4 linked regions of the Cricetulus griseus genome follow. The protein of the gene in region 2 interacts with the protein of the main gene of each other region in a biochemical or structural test. Links are inferred from orthologs where the notes say so. Each region holds a gene or a part of one and is shown on either strand. Other genes may lie near its edges.

What was found. The genes of interacting proteins can lie anywhere in the genome.
Region 1: the proteins of Jup (region 2) and Ctnna1 form a complex in vitro, tested with the Homo sapiens proteins (2 studies listed by BioGRID). The link is inferred for Cricetulus griseus from reciprocal best matches to the Homo sapiens genes JUP and CTNNA1.
Region 3: the proteins of Jup (region 2) and desmoglein-1-alpha form a complex in vitro, tested with the Homo sapiens proteins (2 studies listed by BioGRID and IntAct). The link is inferred for Cricetulus griseus from reciprocal best matches to the Homo sapiens genes JUP and DSG1.
Region 4: the proteins of Jup (region 2) and Cdh1 form a complex in vitro, tested with the Homo sapiens proteins (2 studies listed by BioGRID). The link is inferred for Cricetulus griseus from reciprocal best matches to the Homo sapiens genes JUP and CDH1.

What each region holds. Positions count from the first base shown.
Region 1 is NC_048595.1:202,265,880-202,270,721, forward strand, and holds part of Ctnna1 (catenin alpha-1), read right to left. Parts: intron 4,266-4,842; coding exon 4,065-4,265; intron 3,515-4,064; coding exon 3,363-3,514; intron 142-3,362; coding exon 31-141; intron 1-30. UniProt on the Homo sapiens protein: Associates with the cytoplasmic domain of a variety of cadherins. The association of catenins to cadherins produces a complex which is linked to the actin filament network, and which seems to be of primary importance for cadherins cell-adhesion properties.
Region 2 is NC_048600.1:113,430,143-113,435,321, forward strand, and holds the end of Jup (junction plakoglobin), read right to left. Parts: coding exon 5,108-5,179; intron 4,998-5,107; coding exon 4,876-4,997; intron 3,282-4,875; coding exon 3,242-3,281; intron 3,059-3,241; coding exon 2,907-3,058; 3' UTR 2,893-2,906; intron 2,148-2,892; 3' UTR 1,320-2,147; downstream 1-1,319. UniProt on the Homo sapiens protein: Common junctional plaque protein. The membrane-associated plaques are architectural elements in an important strategic position to influence the arrangement and function of both the cytoskeleton and the cells within the tissue.
Region 3 is NC_048595.1:216,590,138-216,594,979, reverse strand, and holds part of desmoglein-1-alpha, read left to right. Parts: intron 1-175; coding exon 176-211; intron 212-687; coding exon 688-819; intron 820-2,148; coding exon 2,149-2,304; intron 2,305-4,027; coding exon 4,028-4,172; intron 4,173-4,842. UniProt on the Homo sapiens protein: Component of intercellular desmosome junctions. Involved in the interaction of plaque proteins and intermediate filaments mediating cell-cell adhesion.
Region 4 is NC_048596.1:182,967,573-182,972,414, reverse strand, and holds part of Cdh1 (cadherin-1), read right to left. Parts: intron 992-4,842; coding exon 848-991; intron 745-847; coding exon 589-744; intron 1-588.

The DNA.
Region 1 (4,842 bases), on a different chromosome or scaffold from region 2:
AAGTCAGAGAACCAAGGAGAGTGTCCTTACCCGGGCACTTTGTCCAGCTATCAGTTGGTCGTCTTCTGTCTGGACACTTGTCCTACTTCTGACATCAAAATCTTCTGTCTCAAAGTCAGAGTCATCCAATTCCTCGGGAGTCTGCAGCCAACACAAAAGACTATGAATCAGACACAGTTCTGTGCCTCCAGCCTCCCAGAGTGAAATCTCCCAACCAGAGCATAGAGGCCCAGAGTGTAGGACTCTGGTCACCAGAGAGTATCTTGTGTCGCCTCCACACCCTCTTTTTAAAGACAGCTCCTTTCATAGGGTATGGAGCGCAGGCTGACCACTGAATCAAGGCTTGCTGTAACAAAGACTTCACTTCAATGCAGTTTCCCAAGGGATCTGCATCTGCACATGAAGGTAAAAACCACCCTTGGTCAAAAGTCTTTACAGCGGGTATGTTTTATACAACATAGAACAATCTCACTCAAGTCCCACCTTATGACAAGAAAAGGACATAAATTAATACTGGGATTTCTCTCTGAGTGCCAAAGGCAATTTAGAGGAATAAAACAAGGTAATCTATGATTCCTAAAGTCCTACTTTCTTTCTATCCAAGGAAAGGAGAATGCAGCAGATGAGAGTTCCGTGCACACCAAAGGCACTGACTACTGCTTGCTTTCTGCTTTAACTATTGGGCAAAATCTGTGTTTTGTACAACCCCAGCCTCTCCTGATTAGCTACTGATTGACACAGTTATCAGGAAGGACGACAGGCAAGACAGCTGGGGTTGGCTTTTGGCCCAGACGACCAGTCTGTGACAGGAGGGCAGTGAGACCTCCTCTCCACTGGGCCCTGAGCCAAGCCATGCCCAGGGCCTTGCTGTGAGGATCAAATGACAGAACATGTAGGAAGCACTCAGTGACATGAGCTTGTATTCTGACAGGGAAAGGTTGGGCCTACCCCTAGAGAAGTGAGAACAGTAGGGGGCAGGAATCACAAGGTACCACAGAGCCATAAAGATCCTGTCAGCATGGGGCTCTAGAGTCCTGTTCAGAACCTCTGAGCTCTAGCTGCAGACTGCTGGTGTTCACTCACTCACCTATTCTAACAGGAAGCACCAGGAGTCAACTATATGACTTACTCCAGAGCCATGAACAGAGAGCCATCCTGCTGATGGGAAACAGGGAAAGACAGGTCTTGTGGGAGGACTGGTGTTGGTAGACTGAGGAAGTAGCAAGTAACAGAAGAGTGATTTGGCTCACTGGCTGGATCCCAGCTCAGGTGACTCTGAGCCAAGGGAAGATCAGCAGAGGACAAGTGGTGTGGAACCTTAGGAGAGTATGGAACAGCAGACAACACGAATTGACTGAGATGCACTGCGCTAAGGGACCACATTCATATTCCCGAAAGGGAAGATAAAACCAACCAAACTTGCTGTTTGATCAGGGGAGTTAACCACTGAGTAATCTGGCTTCAGAGGCTGGGTTGGCTACTTAAGTATGAAAACGAGCAAAATCAGCCTCTAAAGAAAGCGCATTTTTACAAAGAAATGCAGGCAAAGAGAAGAGACCAGGGCTTCCCTGACAAGGAGACTGATATACAGAGGGGCTGAGAGGTATGTTGTGGCCCTGCCGCCCCCAAAGGGGGACATGATCATATAGAGAAAGAAAGAAAGAAGCCAGAGGCAGTGAACTGTGCTGAAAACACTGCCATTTTTCATTCAATAAAGCCATTACTTTTTAAAACAATTATTGTATGTGTATGAGAGTTATGCCTCATTCATGTATGGCATACCTGTAGGCCAGAAGAGGGCATGGGATCCCCTGGGACTGAGTTTCAGATGGTTCTGAGGCACCACATGGGTGTCCAAACTCTCAAAAGAGTACCAGTGCTTTTAACCACTGAACCACCATCACTCCAGCTCCCCAGTAAAGAGAAGAAAATGATGTAACAGACAGAGGAATTATTTTGGAGGAGGCATCTAAGGTACCTGCCTGCTCTCAGGATGAGCTTTCCCAGTACCCAGACTGCTTCTTCAAAGTGGTATTCTAGGTTTGAGTCACCTCCTAGGGAACACTACATAGCTTTGATCCCATTGGCTTTAACATGGCTTCAGGACACACAAGCAGAACTGTGTGCCTCCCTGGAGTATATGTAGCCTTGGGACCCACTAATACCATATTATAGCCACTGGCTGCCATGGTTAACTCAGACCAGCCTCTATAGGAGATAGATTCTTCTGCCTTAACTTTAAAAAATACCTTTTTAGTGGCATTTTAATCTATTTTGTACATGTGGAACTCAGAGAACAACCTGTGGGAGATGGTCCTGAGGGTCAAACGGGCCTCATGGTTTGGTGGCAGACACCTTCATCCACTAAAGCATCTCCGGCCCACTCAAAGACTGAAGCCTCTGCTATCTTGTAGCTCCACCCACAACCATTCCTCTTCCCAGTGTGCTTGGGGCTGATGGGCAGCTGTCCTGCTTCATGCACAGAATGGTGGTCTTCCTAAGTGTTTCAATGCTGCATACAAAATGGATGCAGCAAGTCTTGAACATGGTTCCAACTGGCACTGCGGTTAACTTCTGCAGTCTAGGAAGAGGGGTAAGAAAGTAGATAGGGCCCCTGTCTAGCCAAACCATGCGGGTATTAATGAAAGTCAGTGGACTGAACTACACGACAGCAGTCAAAGCTCCAGCAATGCAGCAGGTGGGCAATGTATTCCAAATGCCCCTTCTGCAAGCCTGCAACAAACTGGGGGTGGAACACAGACAGAGCAACATGCAAGAGATCCACAGCGACGGAAAAGGCAGTTTGGGAGACACAGGCCCAAGACATGTTTGATGGAAGAAACTGCAGTTTCAGAGACCCATCCCACCCAACTCCATAGGACCTTCTGCTGCCTTTTCTGAGATGGGTGACAAAGACTCAGAGGCAGTACTTCCACTTGGCTCAGCACTTGGCCATGAGCCATGGAGCATCCACTCCTTATCCTGAACAGAGTCTAACCTCCTGCCTGGGCTTCCCTTCAAGGAGAGGAAAGTTTCTTCTGGAGAGGAGTACAGGAACTTTACCTATTTTAAGAAAAAGCTGCTTCTCTGAAATTAAAGAGACTATTTCCTGTAGTTTCCCCTGTAACCCAAGCTAATCTATGTTTATTGAACTAAATTTCCTAAATTAATTCTTAATTCATCAAGCCCATCTTATTTTCTTTTTTCGATCCATTTTTGGGTTCTTTCTCATTTTACCAGCTCTTGGATCTGTGGTTTCACTACAGGGCCACTGGATCTGCTGAGTTTCAAAATGACACACTGGTCAAGTTATCAAATGATAAGAAAGAAGCTGTTGAAATGTCTAGAATGTAGTTATTCACCCTTATCATCAGCACTGCTTTCCTGATGTCCCGGATGCCATCGTAAACCAGTCGGGAGGCATCAATAAACTCATTCTCATCCATAGGCTGGGCTGGGTCTGAGCTGAGGGCTTCCACAGCTGCTTCCACTTGCTCAGTGAACCGTGGCATGACTATGGAGACAAGAGGCAGGCAGGTCACCCTAAGCAGACAGCACTCTACCAACATTTTCCTGAGTCCTTGAACAGGCAGAAGAGTGAAGCTCATGACAAAGATCTTTGTGTTTCTACTCTTGTGCCCAGTACTCACCAGCAAAATAAACCTTGGCGTTTATAGGTGACTAACAGACAATATTTTGCAAGGACTCAACCATCTTCTCACCAGACTCTGTGATCTAGGATTGAGTGACTGAGAACTTGAAATGACACTACCTTGAGACCTTAACAATGGGACTTACAACAGGTTGGGATAGTAGCTGAGTGCTTGGCCAGCATGTAAGAGGTTCTGGGTTCAATCCCCAACACTTCAGGAGGAAGGACCCACCTTAAAGACTTATGTGTTCATGAGCTGCCTAATAACCAACTTCTTACTAGTAAGATGAGCCACCCAGTGTGTGTAAAACCAGAGCTGAGTTCTGTACAATCCACAAGATGTGGAATGATGTCAGAGCCAAGCCATAGTGAGGACCAGGGAGAACACTAGGACAGAAGACAGTTCTCAGACCTGTGTTGGAGAGGAGCTTGGTGGCTTCCAGAACCTTTTCTGTATAAACTCCTGGTTCATAGTTGTCCATCTCTGAGGTGACTACATGGATGACTCGAGCTGCCCGGCCCCGAATGGCGCCAGCAGTGCGGTCCAGCCCATCCACATCTTTCTCTTGGAGAGCAATGACACACTTGTTCACATCCTCCAAAATGTGATTCTCTGAGGAATAAGCAAAAAGCTGAATGAAGGATCAGATCTTCTACTAGAGGGTGACATAGTAACATGGCATGTTCTATGTACAGAAGACAGGCTTGGTGCCAACCACATATACCAAAAGTTTTGTATGCAAGGCTGGGCACAGGCACACATTGGCATGTTGGCATTCAGGAGGGTGGAGCTAGAATCTAGAGTTTGAACCAACTTCTGCAACTTGTCCTCTGTCCTTCAAAAACACCATGGCATGAGCACCCATACCCCAAATAAGTAATGTAATAAAAACAAGCACACCACCTTTGTTGACTGTCATTGAACAAATGTCACTAACAGTCTAACTCAGAAGAACAATTCACTATTAGCCTGTACCCATCCAGTGTTTCCTCTCCTTCCAGGAGATGTCAATAATATTTAGGAGACAGCAAGACCAAAATCAGAGGGCACTGAAAAGCAGGTTTAACCCTCTAGGGCACTGAGAGAATACATCTGAAATGAAAACATTTGGTGTGACACCTGTAGTCTTGAGAGAGGGAAACCTGGGAATCCAGCTAACTGACAAGAAGCTCCTTCTAGGCACATAGCT
Region 2 (5,179 bases):
GATGTTTGTTTTTATTAAGTGTATGATTGCTTTGTCTGTACATATGTCTGAGCACCATGTGCATGCCTGGTGCTCACGGAGGCCAGTTCCCTTGAACAGTTGTAAGCTGCCATTCGAGTGCTGGGAACCAAATCCAGGTCTGCAGAAGAGCAGCCAGTGCTCCGAGCCATCTCTCCAGCGCCCTTGACCCTCCTTCTGTCTGGAATCCTTGCGTCTTCAACTTTCACCCAGACACTTGGCAGATGGGCCAGGCATGGTTCCTTCTGTATGTAGCGACTCCAGAGCCTGTCACATGTTGAACCCATGCTCTACACTGAGCTACAACACAGTTCTATTTTATAGATAAGGAAATCAAAGGTTCCAATAATTGGCTTTCTCGGGGCTGTGAGAAAGCCTACATGAAAATGGACCATTGATGCTACATTAATCTACGTGCCCTTTTCAGCCAGGCTGCTGGGAAGCTCAGAGTTCCAGCTCAGTCATGGCTAGAATTAACCTTCAATCTTTCTGCAAAGGTTTTGCCGCCTTCTCTGCTCTTTTGTCCTTGCTGCCTGTTAAGGGGCTGGAGACTGATTCTTCCTTGATAGCCACCTCACATCCTCTTTGGGGTGGGGAGATCTCTCTGTGTCTTTCTTGGCATCTCTAGATCACTTTGCTCTGTGCTGGGCAGCTAGAGAGAACACAAGCATCCTCTCTGGTTTCTGCCTGGGCCCATCAGCCATAGATGCAGGATACTACTGCATCCACTAGGCCTAGCTTACATCATCTCTTTCCAGGTGCTATCCTCTCCCTTGCTGTTTCCCCGAACGGGGGGGGGGGGGGGGAGAGTTCGAGCCCAGGAGACATGAAAGAGCGGAGAGGGTGTGACCACCACTGAGCATAGTGAGCAGCAAGGAGTCATGGAGAGCTGGGCAGGAGCTGGGATGGGCCTGCTACTGGCCAACAAGAAGCCTGGATTAGCAAGTGTTAGGCAGCAGAGAGCTGGGGTTGAGATATCTGTCATAATCATATTACAGCACGGTGGCAGAGGCTGAGGCGAGCAAGCAGCTTGCCTGTGGAGCAAACTAGCCATGTGTCAATAAAGCAGAAGCTCTTCTGTCCCCTATTCTATGTCCTAGACTCCTAAGGTGCTATGTGACTAGGGAATTAAATCATTAAATGGACTGCAGCTCTTCAAACACTCCCCTCTCTCCATTTGCCTCCCCAGCCCTGAGGACATACAAGGCTCAGCCAAGAGGTATTCCAGGCTGCTAGGAGAGGCCCCTCACCCCTACAGTACTCCTTAATTCCCCTATACCATAATACTCTAACAGCAGCCATTGGATCTGTGTGTTATTTTATTTTCTTTGCTTTGGTCTATACAAAAACAAAAAGAAAAGAAAAACCAATAACCAAAAACATAAAGCAATCATAATAAAACTCTCTGATGGGGCTCCCCCACCTTGCAGTCCCCCCAAACCCATGTGCAGGAGGCAGTGTGGGAGTCAAACAGGAAGGAGAGGAAAAGCCCCTCACCACACCAGAGGGGTGAGCTAGAGCACTTGTGCAGGTCAGCTGGGCTAGTGGAGGGCAGGGTGAGAGGGGGCTTTGCCAAGAGCTCCCTTGGAGAGGAGCAAAGCAGACTTAGCATCTTGGAGAGAAGGGCAGGTCCTGGAGGGGGTACTTGGAGTCCCCACTCTCTTTCCCTGGAAGGTTACCAAACTTTTCAAAAAAAAGCTTCAGATGTCAGGAGTTTGTTGGGGCTTTGAACCTGTTTGTGTCTTGGATATCCCAGATGGGGGCAGTTGGATGCTGAAGTTCAGTGAGAAATTGGCCCCAGGGGAAAAAAAAAAAAAAAAAAAAAAAAAAGGAAGCCCGGGAGGGCCAGGCAGCTGGAGTAGAGCTGAGAGGGTTGCTGTGCAAGGGCACCGGCTGAGTCTAAAGCTTTAGTGGCCATAGCCATAGTGGGGACGGGAGAAGGTGCTGGGTGGGCCTGGATCCACAGCCCAGGGCAGAAAAGCGGGAGCAGACACCATCCCAAGAAACGCTATGGAGGAACTCTCTGGAGCATGGGTTCAGCAGGAAGTCCAGGCTGGCTCCTGGGGCTCGGGTACTTTTCTGTCTCCTCCCACAGTCTGCTCGAGAGCTTTCCAGGTGAGAAACAGCTCCTGCGGGGCAGGTAGACACAGGGATCATCAGGTGCTTGCTTGGCAGGCCTGCATCCCCTAGAATCGCTCAGGTTGCTATTGTGACACCTGCCTACCACTCCCGAAAAACTGGCCTTTCTCCTTATTTGCTTAAAAGTAGCTGGAGGGGCAGGATCTGGGTGCCAAACAAGGGACAAGTACAAAGGAGCGAGCCTCCAGCGGTGCAGCTCCTTATGGGGCTGAAGCAGAAAGATCCTAAGTTCAAGGCATGCCTGGCTGGGCTCCAGACTGAGTTAAAGGCTAGTTTAACCAGACTATTTCAATTTAACGGAAGGCAAAACCAGGGCTGGGATGCACTCCAGTGGTAGAGCACTTGCCTAGCACACACAAAGTTCCAGGTTCAATTCCCAGTGTGACAAAAGGGGGAAAAGGGTGACAAAAAAAGGCATGACGATGTCACCAAGGCTGGGGAAAAGCCATAGATTTGAGGCCAGCCTGGGCTACATAGTGAATTTTAGGCCAGCCTGAAACAGAGTAAAACCTTGTCAATGATAATAATAATATTATCATCATAATAAAGGTGGGCCAGAGCACAACAGATTAAAAAGCTTAGGACTCCCAAATGCCTTCTCCACCCCACCGAAGCCAGGGTTTACAGCCCAGAATGGAAAGGTCCCCACCAGACCATTCAGAGAGGAAAAGCAGGTGTCACTATAACCACAGCTACAGGGAGAGGGCAAGGCTGCAAGACAGGAAGGGGCCATACTGAGGTGGAGCCAGCTAGGCCAGCATGTGGTCTGCAGTGGGGTAGGGAGGCCTCAGGCCGTCACTGTAGGTGTCCATGGGGTAGTCCCCATCCATGTCCATATGCATATCCAGGGGGTCCAGAGGCACATCGCTGGAGTACATGGGACGGTAGGTGGCATCCATGTCTGGGGATGAAAAAGGAAGGCTTGTCCAGGGATCTGCAGACCATACATGGCAGCAGAGTAGGCCCACTGCACACACACACCCCCCCACACTTCAGGGATGTAAAGTGGAACCCAACAGCCACCATGAGTTTCCATTCTCACCCACACAGCCACTGGCTCTCGGGTGGCGCTCCACACACTTACCATCCGCGTAGGGTTCATTGATTGGGATCATACTCTGGGCCTGAGGAAGGACAGAAAGACATAGGAGGTGTGGGAAAATATCCTCTGCACTGCCTTTCCACCAAAGGACAGAGAGGTGCTCCAAGCAAGGGGTCAGGAGACCCCTCAGAGGAGGAAAAGAAAGCACCAGTGTCCCTGGGCCCTGCCCTGGGTAGAGGTCTCACCACTAATGCCTTGGGCTCCCACAAGCCAGAGCAGCTATGGGGAGGGAGTGGAGGTAAGAAGTGCAGGTAGGGTGCACCTGGATAATTTGCACAGTACCTGTGTGCAAATTAGAACAAGGCAACCCTGGATGTAGGTGTAAGTCAGTGGCAGAGTACCTGTCCAGCATATCCAAGGCCCTAGGTTCCATTCCCGACACACACACACACACACACACACACACACACACAGAGTGAGAGCACCCATTCTCAAATCCTTTATCTTCATGGGGGTAAAAGAGATACATAGCTGGGAATAGTGGGGTAGCTCACGCCTGAGATCCCAGGACTTGGGAGACTGAGGCAGGAGGATTGGTGCAAATTCCAGGCTAGCCTGGGGGTACAGAGCGAGACTGTGCAATGCCTGACTATCTCAAAACACCACCCAGGGCTGTAGATACAGCTCAGCGGTAGAGTCCCTGCAGGGCATGCACAGGGCCCTGGTATGACCCCCAGCACTGGAAAAAAAAAAAAAAAGCCAAGCAAACGAACAAAAGCATACACACAAACTAAAACAAAAACCAGACATAATTCAATCTACTACCTCTATGTCATAAAGGACCCCATTGTAAAATAAAATAAAAATCTAGCCAGGCATGACACCCTTAAATCAGAGTATTTGAGAGGTGGAGTCCGGAGGATTAAGAGTTCAAAATCAGCTGGGCAGTGGTGGTGCACACACCTTTAATCCCGGCACTCAGGAGGCAGAGGCACACAGAGGCCAGCCTGGTCTACAGAACAAGTTCCAGGACAGACTCTAAAGGTACTCTAAAGAAACCTGGTCTCAAAAAACAAAAACAAAAAACAAGAGTTCAAAATCAGGGGGCTGGAGAGATGGTTCGGTGGTTAAGAGCATGGATGCACTTCTAGAGGTCCTGAGTTCAATTCCCAACAACCACATAGTGGCTCACAACCATCTATAATGGAATCTGATGCCCTCTTCTGTTATTCGGGCACACATGCAAATAGATATAAACAAATCTAAAAAAAAAGTAACTGGGATTGGCATATAAAATTAAAAAAAAAAGTTCAAAATCCAGCCAGATAGTGGTGCACACACCGTTAGTCCCAGCACCCCAGCACTAGGGAGGCAGAGGCAGCTGAGTTTGAGTTTGTATTTCAGCCTGGTCTACAGAGCTAATTCTAGGTTAGCCAGGGCTACACAAAGAAACCCTGTCTCAAAAACAAAACAAAACAAACAAAAAATCACCCTTGAGATGAATATTGAGTTAGAGGCTATCCTGGGCTACACAAGACTATATACCAAAAACAAACAAACCCCAAATATCTGAAAACTAAACTTACATCTCTGAGGTCAGCTAAGCCTCCTCAGAGATCAATGAGCTGCCCCCACGCAGTCTGTTCAATCAGACGTTCAAGCCCAGTCATACTCACAGCCTCCCAGGCAGCTGGGTCGTGCTTGAAGAGCGAGTTGGTGAGCTCCACAGACACTCGCTTCCGGTAATCTGGGTTCTTGTCCTCCGAGATGCGGAACAGGACAGCGGCGGCATAGGTCGCTGAGCAGAGAGGGAAGTGAGGTCCAAGTCAGAGGCTGCCCCTACCATGGCGGGAGGAATAGAGCCCAGCCTCCTCCCTTGGGCGCTTGCCCACAGTCTCAGCCCCTCACCGGTGCCCTCATTGCGGGAGTGGAGCAGTTCCATGAGAGGGGCAGAGGCGCCCTCCGCATCGATGGCGTCAG
Region 3 (4,842 bases), on a different chromosome or scaffold from region 2:
TAGGGAGAAGTTCCCAAGTCAGGAAAAATACAGCTAAGGAACATCTACTGCCATTAAGTTAGCCCACACCTGCATTGTTTGGTTTTATTTTATGTGTTTTTAGTTATTGGTTCACATAGAATTGAAAACACTCATTAAAAATGAACTATTGTGATTGTTTTTTGTTTTTTTACAGGTGGTGCTTGAAGTTAACAGTGAATTTCATATCCAGGTAATAAAAAGCAAACCTCTTTTTTTTCCCACACTGAAAATTAAAAAGGCCAGGAATGGTAGTGCATGTCTGTAATCCCAGCATTCCTAAAACTGAGGCATGAAGATTGTGGATTAGAAGCCAGTCTGAGCTACATAAAGAAACTCTGTTTCAAAATCATACAATAAACAAACAAAACGAAACAAAAACAGAAAAGGGAAAGTGGGGGAGATGGAGGAAGAGGGAGCATATCAAAGGAAAATATAGATTAGCAATGACAACAAATATTCAAGAACAATGACAAGAAAATCCTTGTTCTTCTAAATACAAAATTACTACATTGTTACAATTGTAAATGTTAATATTATCAGAATTCTTAATTTTCCATTTTACCATCTTTTCTTCCTGACATAATTACTCTTCCCCCCCGAATCTTCAGTTGAATACCAGTAAGAGTAAGTTAATAGTTAATGGACACTGTATTTTACCTATTTAAGGTAAGAGACCATAACGCCAAAAATGGTACCATCAGTTGGCACACCATCAGAAGGCAGAAACGTGAGTGGATTAAGTTTGCTGCAGCTTGTCGGGAAGGTGAAGACAACTCAAAAAGAAACCCTATTGCCAAAGTAAGTGTCAACCCCAAAGCATGGATCTAAACAGCACACTAGACAGGGTCACAGTTCTGGAAGGGCCCAGCTTTTATGTGCTTTGTGCACACATGGGACCTAACAGCACCTCCCCATTCAAATTATGAAAACTAAAATTCCTAAAGGGATAAACCAATGAAGTTGTGTACTTGGATTAGCAACTAAACATTGTCTCAACTCATTGGTAGTAGTCCACATGAATAATTGTTATGCTATACTCCAAAACAACCATGGTTTACAGATAGAGTTCAGCATGCTGAGAGTACGTGCTCTCTCTGCTTTGACTTAACTTCTATTTGTCTATATATATAAGGTTCAAAGCATGCCTCATTCATAACCTCAAATTCCTCTGGTTTTTTCTTTCTTCATACACAAAAGCACAAACTCAGGAAGTTATTCCCTACACACACACAGATTCACTCCCATCGACATATAAAGAGAGATATACACAGATACAAGTACAAGCATTCACACAGATGGATATGGAAACTGCCTTGTAAGATTTACTTATATTCATATGATATTTACATGGACAAAAAGCTAGACTCTACAATTTTTTTTACTTTATAATCTTTTATTAGAGTGGGCTCTTTCCTTTTCTTTACCACTTTCAGAATTAAAAGTTTCAAATAATTTGTTACTACAAAAATCTACTTAAACATTTTTTGAATCTTAGTATTTTTAAAGTTGTTTTTGATTTAAAAATCAACATTATAAAATAATATATATTTGATATAAAACTCTCCAAGAAAGCAAGAAATAACCTACCCTGGACGAAGCTAGAATAGAATCTAAAACTAATACAAAAATAAAATTATAAATGTTTAATGATTATGGGATCTATGCACAGCAGCTATAAAGACTTCTTAGAGTAGCATTTGTTTCTTTATTGTTTGGTAGACATAGAAATAGGGCTGGCATAGTGGGGCACTCCTTTTGCACAGCACTCGAGAGTTAGAGGCAGACACATCTCTGTGAGTACAAGGCCAGCCTGGTCTACAAAGCAAGTTCCAGGACAGCCAGGGCTGTTTAAGACAGAGAAACCCTGTCTTAAAAAAACTAAAACAAAGATAAACAAACAAAATAAAAAAAGACATAGAAATGGGATTATCTCATTACATTGCTATTTACCATTAAGAATGCACACTGACCACATACCTATTACTAAAGATCATTTCCCTGTTTTTAACACTTCCCAAGTGATACCACAAATGGCACATTCAACAATTCTCAAGGAAAACATTGTCATATGTCACATGTGGATGTCCACATGGCTCCTGTAACATCTTCTCCTGTGTCTTTGTACAGATTCATTCTGACTGTGCCGCAAACCAGCAAGTGACGTACCGCATCTCTGGAGTAGGAATTGACCAGCCACCTTATGGAATCTTCGTTATTAATCAAAAAACTGGTGAAATTAATATAACATCCATCGTTGATCGGGAAGTCACCCCCTTTTTTATTGTAAGTGGGCTTTGTGTCAACATCTGTATGCAGATGTAAATTATTCTTAGAAAAATTTTAGACCATACTAGATTTGATTTCAAGACTCCCCAAATCTGGCTTTCTGAGATTCAAATCTTTCTGAATTCACTGGTACCCCAATAGATAAAAAATAATAATATAGAAACATTTTCTTTATGTGCTAGCAAAAAAATGCTAATTAACATCAGCTCCATGACAAATTAGATTATTTGCTTGGAAGGGTAAATCTTTAGCTTTTGTTCTATCTTAAAAAAGAAAATCCGTGGAAATTGATGCTTCCTTTTAACTCCAGTGCCAAGTGATAAGCCTGGAGCTCCTGGAGGCTATTTGTTCCATATGGACATACTTCATCATAACGTTACACTGTTCAAGATCATCTGAGCCCTAAAAGAAATTTGAAAACTCACTCATCCTTAGTCTCTCTCTGTCCTCCCCACCCCCAGTCTCCTTTTCTTGTAGAAGTTGTCACACAACTTAAGCAGCCTGTCTTTTAATGTCTCACCTCACTTCTCCTTAAGCATCTCACCTCCAAACCAAGCCACGATCCCCTGTCCTGACACCTCCCATACATACACACAGAACATTCACTTCTCACTCAGATACATTTCTTACTGCTTCTAAAAGCATGATCAATTTTTGCTTTCCCGGAACTTTCCCATGACATGTCTGTCACCCTGTTGTTACTTGTCTCTTGAAGAGCATTATCCTGTCATCGCCTTTCCCCCTTCTATTCTCCTTAGTCATTCACTGCCTTCATTTCCCTCTATGGTCATAGCTAACACTTCTTAATCAAGAAAAAAAATAAAATAAGCTGGGCGGTAGTGATGCATGTCTTTAATCCCAGCACTTGGGATGTGGAGGCAGGCAGATCTCTGTGAGTTCGAGGCCAGCCTGGTCTACAAAACAAGTTCCCGGACAACCAGAACTACACAGAGAAACCCTATCTCAAAAAACCAATAATAATGATAATGATAATCTTCTAATGAACTTGTGATCTCTTCAATTAAAATCTCATCAAACATCTGAGGATTTAACCTAGTGGCCAAGCATTTTTTATTGTGTGTAAAAGACTAGATTCAGTCTCCAGCCTTGATAAGATATAATATTTCAAACTACCTCCAAATATTGTTTAGTCCTTGCTGTGTTAATTCACACTGCACATCTGCATTCCTAGAACTACTTTAATTCCTGAGCCTCCAATTTCATATCTGTATTCTTGACTTCTGCCCTCCACAGTGTCTCCCTACAAATTCAATAAATCAGCAAAGCAGTACACAATTCACTGTTACACAGAGATGGCCTCTGTGAAATAATACACATTATAGGTCTTCTCAAGGGAAGCAGTAATAATAAAACAAACAACCGCCCCAGCACTTAAGAATGCCACATTGTTTTCAAAGTGCTCCTCTGATTCTTGCTGGCCGTGTTCTCTGGTGTCCTTCCCCTGGTACTCTTTCTCTTGATTTTAAACATAGAAGCTGCAACATTTCCTTTATCTAATGCATCAGTTTACCTTTATAAACTGGCATTTTATGCTCTTGTTTGCCTTTTCTTACTGATTATGTGTGTTGTTCATGTCTATATTTTAATGGGGAATAATAATATGGTATTCCTTAATCCTACATGTTACCAAGACAATACCTCCACCTGTAAGAACTTACAAATGTGTAACTCACCAGGGATCCTTTTCTTTCATATCTAGATCTACTGCCGAGCATTGAATGCACAAGGTCAAGATTTGGAGAACCCACTGGAGCTTAGAGTCAGGGTTATGGATATAAATGACAACCCTCCTGTGTTTTCCATGACTACATTTACAGGACAAATAGAAGAAAATTCTAATGCAAGTGAGTCACCTGTACAACTAAAGAAACATTGTGTTGATGACTAAATTACTGTTGCTAGGCAACTGGGCTGAGCAGTGTCAAGGTAAACATCAACTGGGAGGTAGAAAGCATCCAGAACCAACAACTCAGGAAAAAGCTCCAGTGTCAGTCCAGGAGTACCTCCAAAGGAACAAGTGGAATTCACACTCATGCCTCAAGGTCTAGCTCCTAGGAGAGTCTTGCAAAAACTCCCAACAAAATCTGCATAGTAGTGACAGGCTCAAAGGGATGAGAATTTTCTCTCTGCCCTAGTGTGTTGAAAAGCAATCCCACTCACAGGTGATTATCATCCTTACTTCCAATTTATTGTTTATCCAGATGTAAGAAATGCACCTCTTTATGGGAGTGCATTACTCAACACAATGCATAACAATCCAATAAGGTTCAGGAGCATCTCCATGTCTTTAACCAGCAAGCACTGAAGAAGTCCCTACTTATCCTTTGCAACCATCCTGACATGTATCATAGATAGTACCCTATTCTGCTGAAGAAGAACCTCAAAGAACTCATGCACTGTAATTTTGATCACCCCTACTGAACTTTTTAATGGTCATTGTTTTTATACAAACCAAGCCAGGCACAGGAAGACAAATGTCATGCATTATCACTTATTTCCAAAGCACCCTTGCAG
Region 4 (4,842 bases), on a different chromosome or scaffold from region 2:
CTCTGTCTGTCTGTCTGTCTGTCTGTCTGTCTGTCTGTCTGTCTCTCTCTCTCTCTCTCTCTCTCTCTCTCTCTCTCTCTCTCTGTGTGTGTGTGGGTGGGGTTCACATGCACTTTCATGCAGAACAAGGAGGGCATAAGAGGATGTCAGAGCACCTGGAGCTAGAGTTTCAGATGGTTGTAAACCACCTAATCTGAGTGCTGGGAACTGAAGTCAAAATTCTCTACAAAAGCAACAAATTTGGGTTGGAGAGATGGCTCAGCTGTTAAAGGCTAGGCTCACAACCAAAAATATAAGAGCAACAAATGCTCTTAACTGTTGAGCCATCTCATCTCTCCACCCCCGCTTTGACAACTTCTATCTATGCTCATGTATGGTGTGAGGATTTCCTGCTTTTCTCCTATAAGGAAACAAAGCAACTAACCATCCCAAATTATTCTCTTGGCTTCACATTATCAACACGTCAAGGGGTAAGTTAAGTTACTCACACAGCCAAGGCATGTATGTGGCCTAGGGATAAAACATGGGTTGCCCCCCAAACTTGACACTTGTTACCCAATGATCATCAAGTATCTAAGAAATACTCACAATGTACTTGGCAATATTTTCTCTATCCAGAGGCTCTGTCACTTTCAGCCAGCCTGATTCTCTCTCAATGATAAACACACCAACAGGGGGTCTGTCAGCTCCTTGGCCAGTGATGCTGTAGAAAACCGTGGTTTCTTTGTCCCTATTGGATTTGATCTGAACACAAAACAGAAAAGAAACAGAATTGGCAAAAAAAAAAAAAAAAAAAAAGTCTTGACATTGAATCCTTTCATTTTCTCTTCTCTCAGTCCTTCCATACCTGAACCAAGTTTTTAGGAAATGGGCCCTTCTCATTTTCCGGGCAGCTGATGGGGGGGATAACCCAGTCTCGTTTCTGTCTTCTGGGACCCTGGTGAGAGCTGGGAAATGTGAGCATTTCTGGTTGGGATCCAGAGACAGGGTCCTAAGAGGAAAGAAGATTAACAAAAATGAAGTAATTTAGAAGACACACAACACAGGTCTAACAGTTCAATCTATCCCACTGATGTCTCCCATCTTCTAAAGGTGGTGTACATTTGAATTTAAGGACTCAATCTCAATAGCAAATTCTGTGTACCATCCAAAATGAAGAGCTGAAACATAAACCAAAGAATTCCTGACAATGCTATTGTTTGGACACTGGCTGCCAATAATGTTCCCTGTGCTTGAAAGCTTAGGTCCTAGCTTAGTGGCCAATGAGAGGTCTTCAGACCACAGGAGATATTTCCTTGAAGCATACCGTGAGACTCCAGTCTCTGCTTTGCTTTTTGTATTATAAGACAATTGGTTGTTCTCCTATATGTTCCCACTCTGATGTGCTGCCCTTACCAGAGGACAAAATTACAATGTTATTTGGTCTTAAACCTCCAGAACAAAAACCCAAGTAAAACCTTTTATTTTAAGTCAATTGCCCCAGGAATTTTGTTATAGTGTCAGAAGGCTAACTAATACAGCCATATAACAAATAACTATATTTTCCTTAAATTCTTTTTCTTTTCTTTTCTTTTTTTCTTTTCTTTTTTTCTTTTCTTTTTTTCTTTTCTTTTTTTTTTTTTTTTTTTTTTTTTTTTGTGGCTTTCAAGACAAGGTTTTTCTGTGTAGCCCTAGTTGTCCTGGAACTTACCCTGGCCTTGAACTCAAGAGATTTGCCTGCCTTTGCCTCCAGTGCTAGGATTAAAGTCATGCATGATCACCACTAGGCTGAGCTCTTTAAATTCTTAATATCCAGAATTCAAATAACCACTGTGCATCTACACAATTTGTGGGTGTGAAATTTGACAATTGCATTTAAAAGTTATTTCAGCCAGGCAGTGTTGGCACACCCCTTTAATCCCAGAACTTGGGAGGCAGAAGCAGGTGGATCTCTGTGAGTTCAAGACCAGCCTGCTCTACAAGAGCTAGTTACAGGACAACCTCCAAAGCCACAGAGAAACCGTCTCTCGAAAAACCAAAAATAAATAAATAAATAGAAGTTATTTCAGGCTTATGTAATACGTGTCCTTTAAATGGCATTATACTCCGATAATATCAGAGGGGATTTAGTTCTGGACTCCCAAATATCTAGGGATATAGTTCTCTAAGTGGAGTTATCAATCTTGTTTAATTTACCAAACTTGTTTAAGTTTGGGGAATTGCTACTAAGAACTACTTTGAGATCAATACAAATGTGTTAATCTTATTGTGTCCTATCTCTAAGGGTTCCATTTGTTCTAACAGAAGCTGCTGGGATGGGAAACAAAAATAACCTGGAGACTGGTATTGAACAGTTCCAATGTGCAATAAAGATAATTTCATGCACACTCAGGGAAATAAGAGAGCTGAAGACGAAAGGAAAATGCCTCCTAAATTGCTTAAGTGTTTTAGAATGACTCAAGGTAACAAAGTTCTAGAAGATTTCACCCTCTCCTTTCATGGGGAGATACTCATTTATCAGAGACTATATAGCCTGCCAAGTTCTAATCAAGCCCTATTTCCTTTTTGCTTGTTTGTTTGGGCGTTCTTTTAGAAACATTCTCTGGCTTCAAGCTGTGTAGCCAAGGATGATCTTGACCTTCAGCTCTTCTTCCTCCACCTATCACAGATGACAGACACGTGCCACCATGCTGTCCATGTGGTGGCGGGGAACAGAAGCCAGGGCCTCATGCATGCTAGGCAAGGACTTTACCAATTGAGCTACATTTTTGTATATTCAGCCCTTCTGTTTTTGTTGCTTTTCTTCTAAGATCTAAAACATAAAATGTGACCCGGGATTCTAGAACCCATTCCCACAGACCTGTCACATAAACACACACATCCTACACACTCTGCCCTTACCATCCTTTCATTTGTCAACTACAGAAGAAAGCCACCATGGGCTAGGGGCTGGCCAGCTAGCTTTTAATTCTCAGTATAGCTCCCCATCTGCCTCCAGAGGGGATCTCATAACCTCTGGGTGAACTGTCCCAATGTCTAAAGTGGGCATTTGTTTTGTTTTGTTGAGATAGGGCCTGCTTCACAGTGTAGCCCTGGCTGCCCTGAAAGTCACTATGTAAACCAGGCTGGCCTCTAACTCCTAGAAATCTACCTGTCTCTACTTTCCAAGTGTTGGTACTAGAGGTGTATGACACCGCTCAGGCTAAAACTGAGATTTTGGTATTGGTGCCAATGTCCTAGAGAGCTTGGAAGGACTAAATGATACTTGTTTACATATAAAGTATCTAGAGTAGTACCTGAAACACAGCAAGTGTTCAGTAATGAAGATGACCATGGTTGGAAAACACTGACATAATATTTGGGGGGGGGGGGATTTAACTCCAGTGCAAGAAGAATTTAAGAAACTGCCCATCAACACCACACTCTAAGCCTTCAAATGGCCATATGACACAGTCACAATGAACAGCTAGAGACTGGCCATATTGAAAAGGAAGATAAAGGTCCCACCTTGCCAAGCTGCAGGGTATTCACAGAGATGGGTAATAAATGGTGAGTAACTTGTGTGTGTGAGGGCAAAAGGAGAATCATGCCTAAACATTCCGAACATGAGAAAACTCAACCAGACAAAGGGAAAGAACTAGAAAGTTAGATTCCAGTGTGCTTGCATGTAACGATTATCACAGGTGTGTGTTGATCAGAGGACAGCCTCAGTCTCTCAGTTTTTTGTCACTGTGCACACCAGGCTAGCTAGCCCATGAGTGTCACTTTCCTGGATCTACAGACCCATACCACTTCACTCAGCTTAGTATGGGTTTTGGGAATTCACACTTAAGGTCCTCAAGCTTATACAAAGCAAGTGCTGCACCTCCTAAGCCTTCACTTTGTGAGTGATACAAAGTCTTGTTTTGTATGGCTGAGTTTCGCCTGGAACTTACAATCCTTCTGCCTCAGCCTGATATTACAAGTCTGTGCAACCATTCCAAGACATTCTTCCATTTTCTCTTTGTACTCTGGTTTGTTGTTTTGTGTTATTTATTTATTTATTTATTATTTTGCATGACTGGTTTGCTTTTTTGATACTATGCAACCAACCACCTTGGCTATCCTGGAACTCTCTATGTAGACCAGACTGGCCTTGAACTCACAGAGATCCACCTGCCTCTGCCTCCAGAGTGCCTGAATTAAAGGCATGTGTCATCATGGCCAGGTAGCTTTGCTTTTTTGAGACAGAGCTTTACTCTGTAGCTCAGGCTGGTCTAGAATTTACTATATAGCTCAGGCTGCTCTCAAACTCACAACAAACCTCTCTTAGATTTCTAAATGTTAGGATTAAATCATGACCCACCATATTTGGTTCTTTGTTTGTTTGTTTTTGTTTATTTATTTGTTTGTTTTTATTTTTTGAGACAGGGTTTCTCTGTGGCTTTGGAGGCTGTCCTGGAACTAGCTCTTGTAGACCAGGCTGGTCTCATACTCACAGAGATCTGCCTCCCGAGTGCTAGGACTAAAGGCGTGCACCACCAACGCCCAGCTGGTTCTTTATTTTTGAGACAGAGTCTTGCAATATAGTTCTGGCTGGCCTTGAAGTCATACAAACCCTTCTTCCCTGCCTCCCAAGTGTTGGAATTAACCTTACTCTCAAATTTTTCCTTTCTTATTAAATCCAAAACTTAGGGGCTAGAGAGATGGCTCAGCATTTAAGAGCCTCAACAGTTAAGAGCACTCGCTGTTCTTACAGACATTATGGGTTCAATTCCCAGCACCCATGCAGAAACTTAAAACCATCTGTAACTTTAGTTCCAGGGGATCCCATACCCTTTTCCAGCCTCCACAGGTAGCAGGCATACATGTGATACCCAAATA